3 linked regions of the Daphnia pulex genome follow. The protein of the gene in region 3 purifies or fractionates together with the protein of the main gene of each other region. This does not show direct contact. Links are inferred from orthologs where the notes say so. Each region holds a gene or a part of one and is shown on either strand. Other genes may lie near its edges.

What was found.
Region 1: the proteins of ruvB-like 2 (region 3) and DNA-directed RNA polymerase II subunit RPB2 purify together in Homo sapiens (affinity purification with mass spectrometry; 3 studies listed by BioGRID and IntAct, with this or other methods). This does not show direct contact. The link is inferred for Daphnia pulex from reciprocal best matches to the Homo sapiens genes RUVBL2 and POLR2B.
Region 2: the proteins of ruvB-like 2 (region 3) and MRG/MORF4L-binding protein-like purify together in Homo sapiens (co-immunoprecipitation; 5 studies listed by BioGRID and IntAct, counting the BioPlex papers as one, with this or other methods). This does not show direct contact. The link is inferred for Daphnia pulex from reciprocal best matches to the Homo sapiens genes RUVBL2 and MRGBP.

Annotation. Positions count from the first base shown.
Region 1 is NC_060022.1:1,081,487-1,085,235, reverse strand, and holds the start of DNA-directed RNA polymerase II subunit RPB2, read right to left. Parts: upstream 2,827-3,749; 5' UTR 2,676-2,826; coding exon 2,657-2,675; intron 2,593-2,656; coding exon 1,107-2,592; intron 1,036-1,106; coding exon 489-1,035; intron 412-488; coding exon 1-411. Other genes in the region: kunitz-type protease inhibitor 1-like, read right to left, coding at 3,095-3,396, 3,490-3,547. UniProt on the Homo sapiens protein: Catalytic core component of RNA polymerase II (Pol II), a DNA-dependent RNA polymerase which synthesizes mRNA precursors and many functional non-coding RNAs using the four ribonucleoside triphosphates as substrates.
Region 2 is NC_060018.1:12,249,311-12,252,134, forward strand, and holds MRG/MORF4L-binding protein-like, read right to left. Parts: upstream 1,485-2,824; 5' UTR 1,339-1,484; coding exon 1,218-1,338; intron 1,119-1,217; coding exon 997-1,118; intron 932-996; coding exon 671-931; 3' UTR 512-670; downstream 1-511. Other genes in the region: tRNA dimethylallyltransferase-like, read right to left, coding at 2,601-2,824.
Region 3 is NC_060021.1:8,103,886-8,107,641, forward strand, and holds ruvB-like 2, read right to left. Parts: upstream 2,604-3,756; 5' UTR 2,508-2,603; coding exon 2,502-2,507; intron 2,395-2,501; coding exon 2,281-2,394; exon of another isoform or gene 2,221-2,280; coding exon 2,100-2,220; exon of another isoform or gene 2,081-2,099; intron 2,029-2,080; coding exon 1,878-2,028; exon of another isoform or gene 1,839-1,877; intron 1,809-1,838; coding exon 1,646-1,808; intron 1,586-1,645; coding exon 1,456-1,585; intron 1,360-1,455; coding exon 1,261-1,359; intron 1,186-1,260; coding exon 1,073-1,185; intron 1,002-1,072; coding exon 781-1,001; intron 716-780; coding exon 577-715; intron 510-576; coding exon 395-509; intron 327-394; coding exon 298-326; 3' UTR 92-297; downstream 1-91. Other genes in the region: uncharacterized protein LOC124194162, read right to left, coding at 3,272-3,424, 3,513-3,647, 3,717-3,756. UniProt on the Homo sapiens protein: Possesses single-stranded DNA-stimulated ATPase and ATP-dependent DNA helicase (5' to 3') activity; hexamerization is thought to be critical for ATP hydrolysis and adjacent subunits in the ring-like structure contribute to the ATPase activity.

The sequences.
Region 1 (3,749 bases), on a different chromosome or scaffold from region 3:
TCGTTTAGACTCTTGATCTTTGTAGGATCGGAAAAAGACGGAGCGGAAGAATCCTCGTTCGACGGCGGAAGCGTTTATGATGACGGAATCCTCCTGGTTGTATCCGGTGTAGCTGAGAATGGCAACAATCGAATTGATGCCGGCGGGCAACTCTCTGAAGCGCAGGTACTCCATGGAGCGTGTCGTGACCAAAGGTTTCTGAGGGTACTGCAGGACGTGGGCCAGAGTGTCCATCCGGACGTGGAAGTTAGTAATGTACACTCCCATGGCTTGTTTACCCATGGCGCTTTGGTAAGTGTTACGAGGCGACTGGTTGTGATCGGGAAACGGAATAATCGAGGCGCAAACTCCCAAAATCATGGCCGGATGAATCTCGCAATGCGTGTACGTCGTACAGTAGGCGTCTTTACCCTGGATAAACAAAGCAAAACATTCAACGGCTGGATGGGGTGGGGTAGGGAAAGAAAAAATCAATGCAGAAAATTTACCTGGCGCAAGTCCTCGGGCGACATGGCAATCATGGCCGTCTCCTCCTCCAAAGTGTCAATGTACTCGACTACACCAGTGGCCACCAGTTCCTGCCAGCTGAAATTGATGTACTCGCGCTGTTTGAGCATGTCAACGTGGCGCTTCTTCAGCAACAATTTGCAGTTCTCGACGATCAACAATGGACGACAAATACGGCCGGCGTCCGTGTAAATTCGAATTTCACGGTCCTGGATGTCGCGCACCATCGATACTTCAGACACGATAATGTCCATCTGACGACGCAGTTTGCGCAGGGTGGCCATCAACTGCTCCGGGTCGCGATGGATACCCACCCAGCAACCGTTGACGAAAATCTTGGTGGCATCCGCAATGGCAGACGGAGCGATTTCTTCCAAGTTCTCCATGGACCACTCTTCCAAAAACTCGAGGATGGGCGACGGTTGGGAACCGACTGAAATGTAGGCCATCAAAGCCAAATTCTTGACGAGACCGACAGCAGCTCCTTCGGGCGTTTCGGCTGGACAAACCATTCCCCACAGCGTGTTGCTAAAATAGTTTTAAAAAATGTTATGTAATAAACAAAAGCCGATGAAAATAATTTGAAATCAATGACTTACTGGAGCTGACGAGGTTTGGCCAGTTTACCGTCACGACCAATGGGCGAATTGAGGCGACGCAAATGTGACAAGGTCGAAGCGAAAGTCAATCGGTTCAACACCTGAGAGACACCAGCGCGGGCCTGATGGGCTTTTTTCTGGTCTCCCCAATTTCCTGTGGCCAACGAGTAACGGAGTCCGTCGGTGATGATGCGGGTCTTAATGGCCAGTTCCAAATTGAAATCTTTTCCTCGATCGATGAATTTCTGTGCGTACATTCGGACTTCTTTCATGAGAGTTTTGAAAAGGGCTCGGAAGAGGAAAGCCATCAACGGTCCGGCGAGATCCAGACGTTTGTTGCCGTAGTGATCACGATCGTCCAGCTCACGGCGTCCCAAGGCAGCCAGCAGCAAGCGATGGACCATGTAGCCGAGGAAATAGGCTTTCTTCGTCTCGCAAAAGTCGGACACACCAACGTGAGGCAACATTTCCTTTTGGAGAATCTCACGGGCGTACTTGATACGCTTCTCTTTGGTGACACCAGGCCTGGCACCGCGAGCACCGATGAAATTCAAGGCAACATTCTGCTCCTGGATGACGAAGGCTTCGTCCAGCGAAGGTTTCACCATTTCCATCATTTCGGGGTCTTCAAAGTCGTAGATGATGTGCTCGAGAATATCTCGATCGGCCACGAAACCTAAGGCTCGGAACACAATCATAATGGGAATTTCTTGCTTAATGTAGGGCAGAATGGCAATGATACGCTGGCCGATGGCGGATTTCTTGATGCCCTGACCACCACGTGCCAACATGTTGACGTACAAGGTGGAGGTTGGACGTGACGAGTGTTCCAAGCAGGAACGAATTTCTGTCTTGTAAGCGAATTTGCCGTCCTTCATGCTGAAGACATACACTGTATTTGTGGCCATCTTCTCTTGAGCAATCAATACTTTTTCTGAGCCGTTGATGATAAAATATCCACCAGGATCGAGAGGGCATTCATTCAATTCACACAAATCACGATCATTCATTCCATTCAGCAGGCAATAAGTGGATCTCAACATGATAGGAATTTTGCCAATGAATGTTTTCTGATGCTGTGTCTCGACCTGCTCTTCCCCTTCTTTGTGCACAGTTTTCGTGATATCAACATACAACGGGGCAGAGTAGGTGAGATTTCTTAGTCTTGCTTCATTAGGCATCATGGCTGTCGGAGCACCATCTTTCTCCCAATGTGTAGGTTTCGAGAGGTAAATCTGCTCAAATTTTAGGACATATCTCGGAGGGTTTTCTACTTCCCCCGAAGAATGCTGGGCTTCTGCCTGAAGGTCAATGGCAGGTGAATCTTCAACAATTCTTTGTACAGACATCTGAATAAATTCATCAAACGAATCAAGCTGTTGTCGCACAAGACCTTTTTCATCGAAATATGCGTTGATGACAATCCAACAGGCTTCTTGCCAAAGCTCTGAAGAGATTTCCTCGCCATCTTCATCCTCGATCGGATCTTAAGTAAAAGACACGTTAGAATGAGAAAAAAATGTATGAATATCATCATATTTTGATGTTACCTTCGTCTTGATCGTACATTGTGTTATTATACGAATCGACAAATTAATTATGAATTAGAAAACGACTGCAATGTAAAGATTCGTTGGCCTTTGCAGCCGGCAGTCGACTTTCGTTCACTGTTGTCGCACTTGTCGGAAAAACTCAATTTCGACATCTGCCGGCCAAATCGAAAATGAGACGCAAGGTGGCGTTGCCGGATATATTTTAATTTCGCCGGTTTATTTAAAAGTCGGTAAAAAAATATTTTCTTTAAAACACGAAACAACTCGTATTGTGTGAGTAAATAAGAAGTGTATTCAAAATTAATTTTAACTGAATAATATAGATTACATTGAAAGACAATCCATGTGATCAATGTAAGAACAATTCTTTAAATTACTTTTTAAAATAAAAGAATAACAACGTTGTGCTAGAGAAAAGCATTTTACATCAATTGATTACTTGCCAAGAACGAAATATCTGAATTTCTGCAACGAGGGATATTGCTGGAAGTCCTCAACGCTCTCGTAGCTGTCGAAATTATCTTGATCACAGCGCAATTCGCAAAGGTCTTCGCTGGCGAATAGATTTTCAGATCCTCCACAGCCAGTGTAGAAAATCTTTTCACAATCCCTGGTAGCAGAGTCGTAGTACCACTTGATGGAAAATTGATTGCAACGCACTTTGGGGTTGAGTGGTGGCAAGAGACAAACCGGATCCAATGGTCGTTGAGCAAATACCGGTACTGGGACCGCCAATTCTATTCAAATATATTCATAAATCGTAAAAGAGCATTGCTTGAAAAAGCCCATGTTACATAAAACTAAAATTTTAGATTTAAAAAATCACTTACGAGGAGCAGCAGAGGAGAAAGCGACGAGGCAGAGCATAACGACGAACGTAGCCGACATTTTCCGGTTGAAGTTTATGGAGTTGAATGGAGCAAATGGGAAAAACCTTCTTCTGCTTTCGACTGAAGAAGGAAGGAGTCGACCGGCTGGTACTTATAGTCCCGCTAGAGATAATTACAGCCCTGCAATCGGGCATTATAGCTGGAAAAAACATGAATTTGACCTTTCGCGATGTAACCAAAATAAAAATAACCGCTTAATC
Region 2 (2,824 bases), on a different chromosome or scaffold from region 3:
CACACACAGACACACACTCATAGGGCGACATCACATGGCCGAAAATGTAATGGTGATTCATCCTTAAATTATCTCAACTTTGGCTTCGTTTTGGAATCGATAGAGAAACCTACTATTGATCAATGTTGTTCTTACCCGACTTAGATAAATTCTTCAATCAATTTTTTATACGAATGAAAATACACGTTGCAAATCCCAGCACATCGTCGGCGAGGGCTCTGTAAAAAACCGAAGAACAGAACAAACAGTTGCTCGCAGTGCTGCACTGGGGCGCTTTCAAGTGGCAATGAAACGCACTACAAAACCGGTGCATTCTCTTCCTTCCGATGCCTCTTCCAACAACTCTTTCGAAATGTGGTCACGTCGAATTCATTTTTAATTATTATAATTTTCATACACTTGAGAAACAGGAAATCGTATCGACAACTTTTTTTTAACTCTCTAAAATAAGTGAGGTAATTAAACTGAAGATGGAAAGGTTTTTCTAACGAATAAAAATTCAAACGCATGATTTTGAAGTGGGCGGTCATTTTTTAGTCCGGCCGAAATTTTTTTTTTAACACAATACCCGAGTTACAAAATTTCATTAAACGGTTTCGCAATCAATAATGTACGAGTGCCGAAAAAGTTGACATGGTAAAAAAAAAAAAAGTCATTCATCTTCTTGTTTTCAAATTCGTCGACGTTTTGGAGTGATTTGCGGTGTTCCAGGGCTTGGGGCAGTGCTGGCTCTTGTTCTTTTCACAGCTTTCTTTTCAATTGGCTGGGGTGTTTCAGGAACTTTTTCCTTCTTAACTTCTTCCTTTTCCTTCTTTATCACTTTCTTGGATTCAGCATCCTTGAATTTGCTATCCATCAATTCGCCATACTCCTCAGTGGAAAGGACAAAGTCCATTTCTTCGTTGGGGAAAGGAATCGTCTCGTGCTCATCCTAGAGAAAGAAACAAACACTTTAATACAAAACAATACAGTGAATATTAATGACAGTGAACAAACCAGTTTCTTGAGATCGTACAAGCTCGCCAGGTGATCCCAAACACCTTTGGAAGTGACTTCTTTGTTCAGATTCATTGCCAGTTTTTCTACGATGCAGGCCATTTGAAAGTATTTACTAATTCCTGTAAAAAAGAAAATGTTTTAAATATTTAACACAAATTAAACCTGCTGTGAAACAAGTGTAGAAAATCGTCGTCATTTTCAAACGTTTATCTTATTACCTATGGGTCTGGTGCCACACAGAATTTGTAACAGCTGCAATTCGTTATCGACGGTACCCCATTCCACTTCTGCAGCCTCCAAAGTCTCTTCGTTTCCTTCAGTTTTTTCTTTAACGGCCATATTTCAATCGATTTTAACTGAGTACGTTGATATTGAATGGAGATTTCTCCGACGTTCGACTAGTGGTTGAGGAAAACGAAAATAACAACCGGCTCCCTTCTGACAAGTGAAAATACTACACACACACACTCCGCAACGCCATCTGTGATTTGGTTTTGGTAGGATTAGGTGCGTCTGCTATGCTAGCAGACACGCCATCTGTGATTCAACTATTCAACTGCTAGTCAGTTTGTTTTTGTTTTTTTTCTTTTTCACAATTTAATTAAAAAAACTGTTGTTGTATAAATGTTTCATAATTGACCCGACAGAAATTAATTCAGTCAGCCAAAATGGAGAGAAAACAAAACAAAACAAACATCCTGTTTTATTTAATCCAGCGACGTTAGTTAATCGTTATCTGAACAACACCAAGATTGTCGAATGATAAATCAGGCACGGTTCTTAGAATGTCCTGGGCGAAACATTCCGACGAAATACTTTTCCCATTTCCCGTGTCCATTTCCCAAGGTCACAACCAGTTGAATCATCACGATCACGAAGCGTAAGCAGAAAATGGGAAGGAAAAGAAATAAAATAATACGGAGGAGAGTTTTTTGGCGTTGGTGTGTGTGTAAATGCAAACGAAATATCCGCCCTGTAAAATCAAAATAAAATAAGCGGAAAAGAGTCCCGACACAAAACAGCCATTTCCTCCTCCCACACGGAATAAATGCTGGTGAACACAAAAAGAGCTATTGGTCAATTTTTTTCCTCTCCAAACAACTGTTATTACATGATATAACTGCCGTGCAGGCCGGCCGACTCCATTGAGGCGTAGAAAACCAGCCAGCGTTTATTTCAACGGTGAAAAGAAAGCAAAATAAAAAACCCATAGAAATCGCTTCCATCTCTCTTCATTGTCTAGTACTAAACTTTTGTGTATTGCCGTTTAGCCCCCAAACATTTCCCAGCTCAGCCAAAGAATTTACAAAACACACACACAGACAAATTGACTATCATTCAGTTTCAGCTTTTTCCTTCTACAAATTTTGGTTTTATTGTGCGAAACATTGGCCGGCAAACGGGAGAAATATCACACAACACGCCGGGCTGCCCTGGAGAAGAGAAAAAAGAATGAAAGGGAAGCGGATCATTAAACGACGCCGGATCATTTAAGGACTTTTCCGGAAAGAGAAGAAAAGATCTAGAGGGAAAGAGACGGGAATTTTTTGTGTTGTTTTTCAAAGTCTGCCGGGCAGGCTGGGCGCGCTAACGTTGGTTGTTTAAGAGGTCTGCTGATCTATTTGTAGTGATGGTAGTTGTGGCTGCTGCTGCTGTTCCTCCTGGGCAGCCTGAGCGGATGTCAAAGCCGCCTCCTGCGATCCGCCCGCGTTTGTTTCGTCTTCGTCAGCTCGGTCCGTCTTGGCGCTCCTTGGTTGGCGTCGTCTAGGTTTGGACTGCTGGTCGAGGCCGTCTCCGTTGGTCGCCGCCCGTTTGACCAGTTTGC
Region 3 (3,756 bases):
AAAATTACTTACACAAAAGTCGTAACAAACGGACGCAAATAAGCGACGAGTTTAGGACATTCAGAGCCACCTATCAACCGAAACTAGCAGCTTGACCGAAAGTGTTTTTGTATTTTTTGTCTTCTTTTCGGGTGTACACAATTATTACGAGGCGGGAAGAAAAACAGTTTAAACAGTACGTGTGAGTGTAGTTGTTTGTTTTTTTGGCGTCTTTTTTATTTTGACGGGATTATTTGATAGACGATACAAATGTGGAAAAAAAAAGCTTTTTCATTCAAAATGGAATTTTGAGTTAAGTTATGATGTCTCCATGGCGACGTCAGATTCTGTAAAAATGTTATTTTTCAATGAATACACAAAAGAAAATCTCAGACGTAATGATTCAGGTACTTACTTGGTTCGTCCTCTTCGTTAAACATGAATTCATCTTGAATGTCCTTCAGATACTGGGTGGAACGGGTTTCATCCAGGAATAGCGTGTACGCCTTTTTAATATCTTCTACGGCAATCTATTTAGATAAGAGCATAAAGCAAATGATTAATAACGTGCTGTCTGAATACAGTCTGAATACCAACCTCCATGGCCTTTCGTTTGCGAGCTATGAGATTAGCAACCGTGATGAGCTGAATGGCATAGCGTAAGCTAGTTTCCAAGGAAAGCCTCGTCAAAACGAGTAGAGCATCTTCCGTCATCTCGGCGTCTTCCTCTTCGCACCTGTGCAAAGAAAATATCAATTAAGGCAAAGCCAACGCATCAAATAATTGAAATGATAATTTTACCGGATTTTCAGAATTTGCTTCATTTCCTTTTCCACGTACGGCTGCGTGGCAATGATCACCATCCGATCAAGCAAATCAATTGGGATGCCGTGGGGACTCCGATATTTGGTTCCGCGAATTTTAGTAATTCCACGATTAGTGGCCATAATCAACACTGGCGCCATATCATCTTCCAGAGCACGATTCAAAAATGAAAAACATTCCATGTCTAGCATGTGCACCTACGTCGAGACATGACGGTACGAATAAATATATGCAGGAAGGAGAATGGTATGAAGATTTAATCACAAACTTCATCAATAAATAAAACTCCCGGGACGATTTCCGCTTTGCCCTCTTCGCGCCATTCGGCGACTTTGCTATTGATCTGGTCCCGGACTTCGGATTTGATTTCACCAGTATCCCCTATTGAATGCAAAACAAGAGATTTAATTTTGTAAACTTTCAAGGTCGGGAAATTAAAAATGTATGTGAGCTCACCAGAGAAGAGGGCGAGAAAACCCTGAGTTCTGCTATTGATTACGTCAATCTCGTGCAAGGTGACTGTGTGAGTCACTTCTTTCCGCTTTTGTAATTCGCCTACGTAAATAGAATAGGAGTGGTGTAAGAATATCGTACGATGTCGTCGTCGTCGTCGTAAACCACTTGACCAAAACTGGAATTTAAATAATATACCTTCGGGACACTGAACAAATCTGGTTTGCGGTCCAGTTGCGTCGTAATCCCTAGCCCTAGTGAACGATCGTCCGAGTTTCGAGATCTTGCCAGTGGCTTTGTCGATGGTAATGACGTCTCCAGCTTGGGCCTGAACCACACAAAGATATGTATACAAAATTGAAACACTTTTGTCAAACAAATTACACACCTTTTCCTTGATGAGGGATTCAATCATTTTGTTGCCCAAATCGTACACAGTTTCCATGTCTGTTGTCTTTAATGTCAGCTTTCCAACTTTAGCACCAGTTCCGGTAGCAGGTCTATCAATTTGAACTTCAACAACCTCACCCTCAATGATCTCAGTTTCTTCTCTGTTGAAAACAAATGAAAAATAAGGTTACAAGATTTCTAGGTTGAACAAATTTTGAGTTCACATCTACTTGATTCGAACTCCAATAGATTTTCGAAATGCTTGAGTTAGAGCTTCAGTTTTGCTCATTTCAAGGCTGTAGATTTCCGATCCGGCCATGGATGTGAAAGGTGTGTTGTCCCCGAGAGCCTGTGCCATACCCATGGCAATTGCAGTTTTGCCTAAAAAGTAAACCAAAGTGTTATAAACCAAATAATGGGATGTTTATTGCAGATTCAAAGACAATGTTAACCTGTTCCTGGCTGTCCAGCAATCAATACTGCTCTCCCCGCAATTTTTCCTTCTCTAATCATTTCCAGTACCACACCAGCAGCTCGTCGTGCTGTCAACTGGCCAACCATGCCTTGGGACACCTAACAATCATTTTGATATGTAACTTGTACGATTCTTTTATTCAAATTATTCAAAAGTACTTCTCTTGGTTCCAAAGCATCATCAAGTCCAAGACCTCGAATGTGAGAGTGAGTACCGATTCGTTCAATTCGAGAGAATTCTCGCACTTCTGCTACTTTAACTGATGGGATCGCCTAAAAAATGAAACGATATGGTCCAGAAATAAAAAAAGCACACAAGGGAAACGGAAAAATTAGCCATTTTATCCAAAATAAAGAATTATAACACGTGTATATATTACCGCCATGATTTGCTTTTTACAGTGCGTTGAGTTTCCTATCCTTCCCGTTCAACGCCGGTGGTATCCATGGAAACGGTTTTGAATTGATTGTTCGCTTTACATTCTTTTTTAAAGCATTTGTAATATTATACATCAACATTAAATTTTATTAAATTAAATTATATGAAATTTTAAAACACTTATCGACTTATTTACTACTTTCCTCGAATCTTAAAAAAATTATCAAACATGGCAATGCTGATTTTAGCTCCAACTTTCAAAGGCATAAAAAGGAGCAATGATTTCTTGACAAAAGCTCATTAGCTAGCCTAGTGGCTGTCTGAAACACATCTTTGGTGTCGATTACTACTTCAACGCAAACGTAATCAAATTTTTTTTTAGATTTTTTATGCATATATTCGATTATGATTGTTTTACACAAACCATTTAGCATCTACTGACTTTTTCCAAATGAAAATTTTAGAAAATGTGGAATTCAGAATGTTATAAAGTAAAATTTGTTGGATCAGAGACACGTGCATTTTCAGGACAAACGTTAAGTGAATTCAGTGTACATTGAGTGAGACATAGACTTAGAGAGATTTTCATTTTTGTAACGGGATTCCCAAACGGGAGAGAAAGAGACTTGTGTTACTTTTCACATGGAAAAAATATACCTCGATTTTTGTAAATTTTCATTCTTTTGTAGATGAACAGTTTCATGGTTGACATAGTATTTTAGCAGGGTTGTTACTTTAAATGTAAATAACAAAACAATTATACATTTTTGATTAACCGTGTTTCGCTGTCACCGTCTTCCGTAGTGTAGGTGTTATTCCGCCAGTAAAGTAATCTAAATAGCTCAACAAAACCAACTGAACACTGTTCTTTACCAATTTGCCAGCTAATTTGGTTGTTTTTCTAGGCAAGTCTTTGTCTGAAAGCTAAAAATGGGAAGTAATCGTTCAAAGCATTAGAAAGAGACGACAAAAAATGTGTGCAAATCAATTTGCCATTATATTTATTACGTACTATGTTGTTGATATATATAATCCTTCGGTGAAAATTGCCGCGAAGTCCCAAAACGTGATATTTGTCAATTTTTCTTCCTTCTTCCGCAAAGTTAATTGGGGGCCTGGCTTGTACTACTTCCAGCCGATCTGCAACCTCGTATGTAGTAATTGTTCAACGAATGATTAAGAATTCATTAATTATTTCGTAAAACAAGAGGCTTACCAAAAACGACAAAAGCAGAGCTCCGAATAACAGAGTCTGG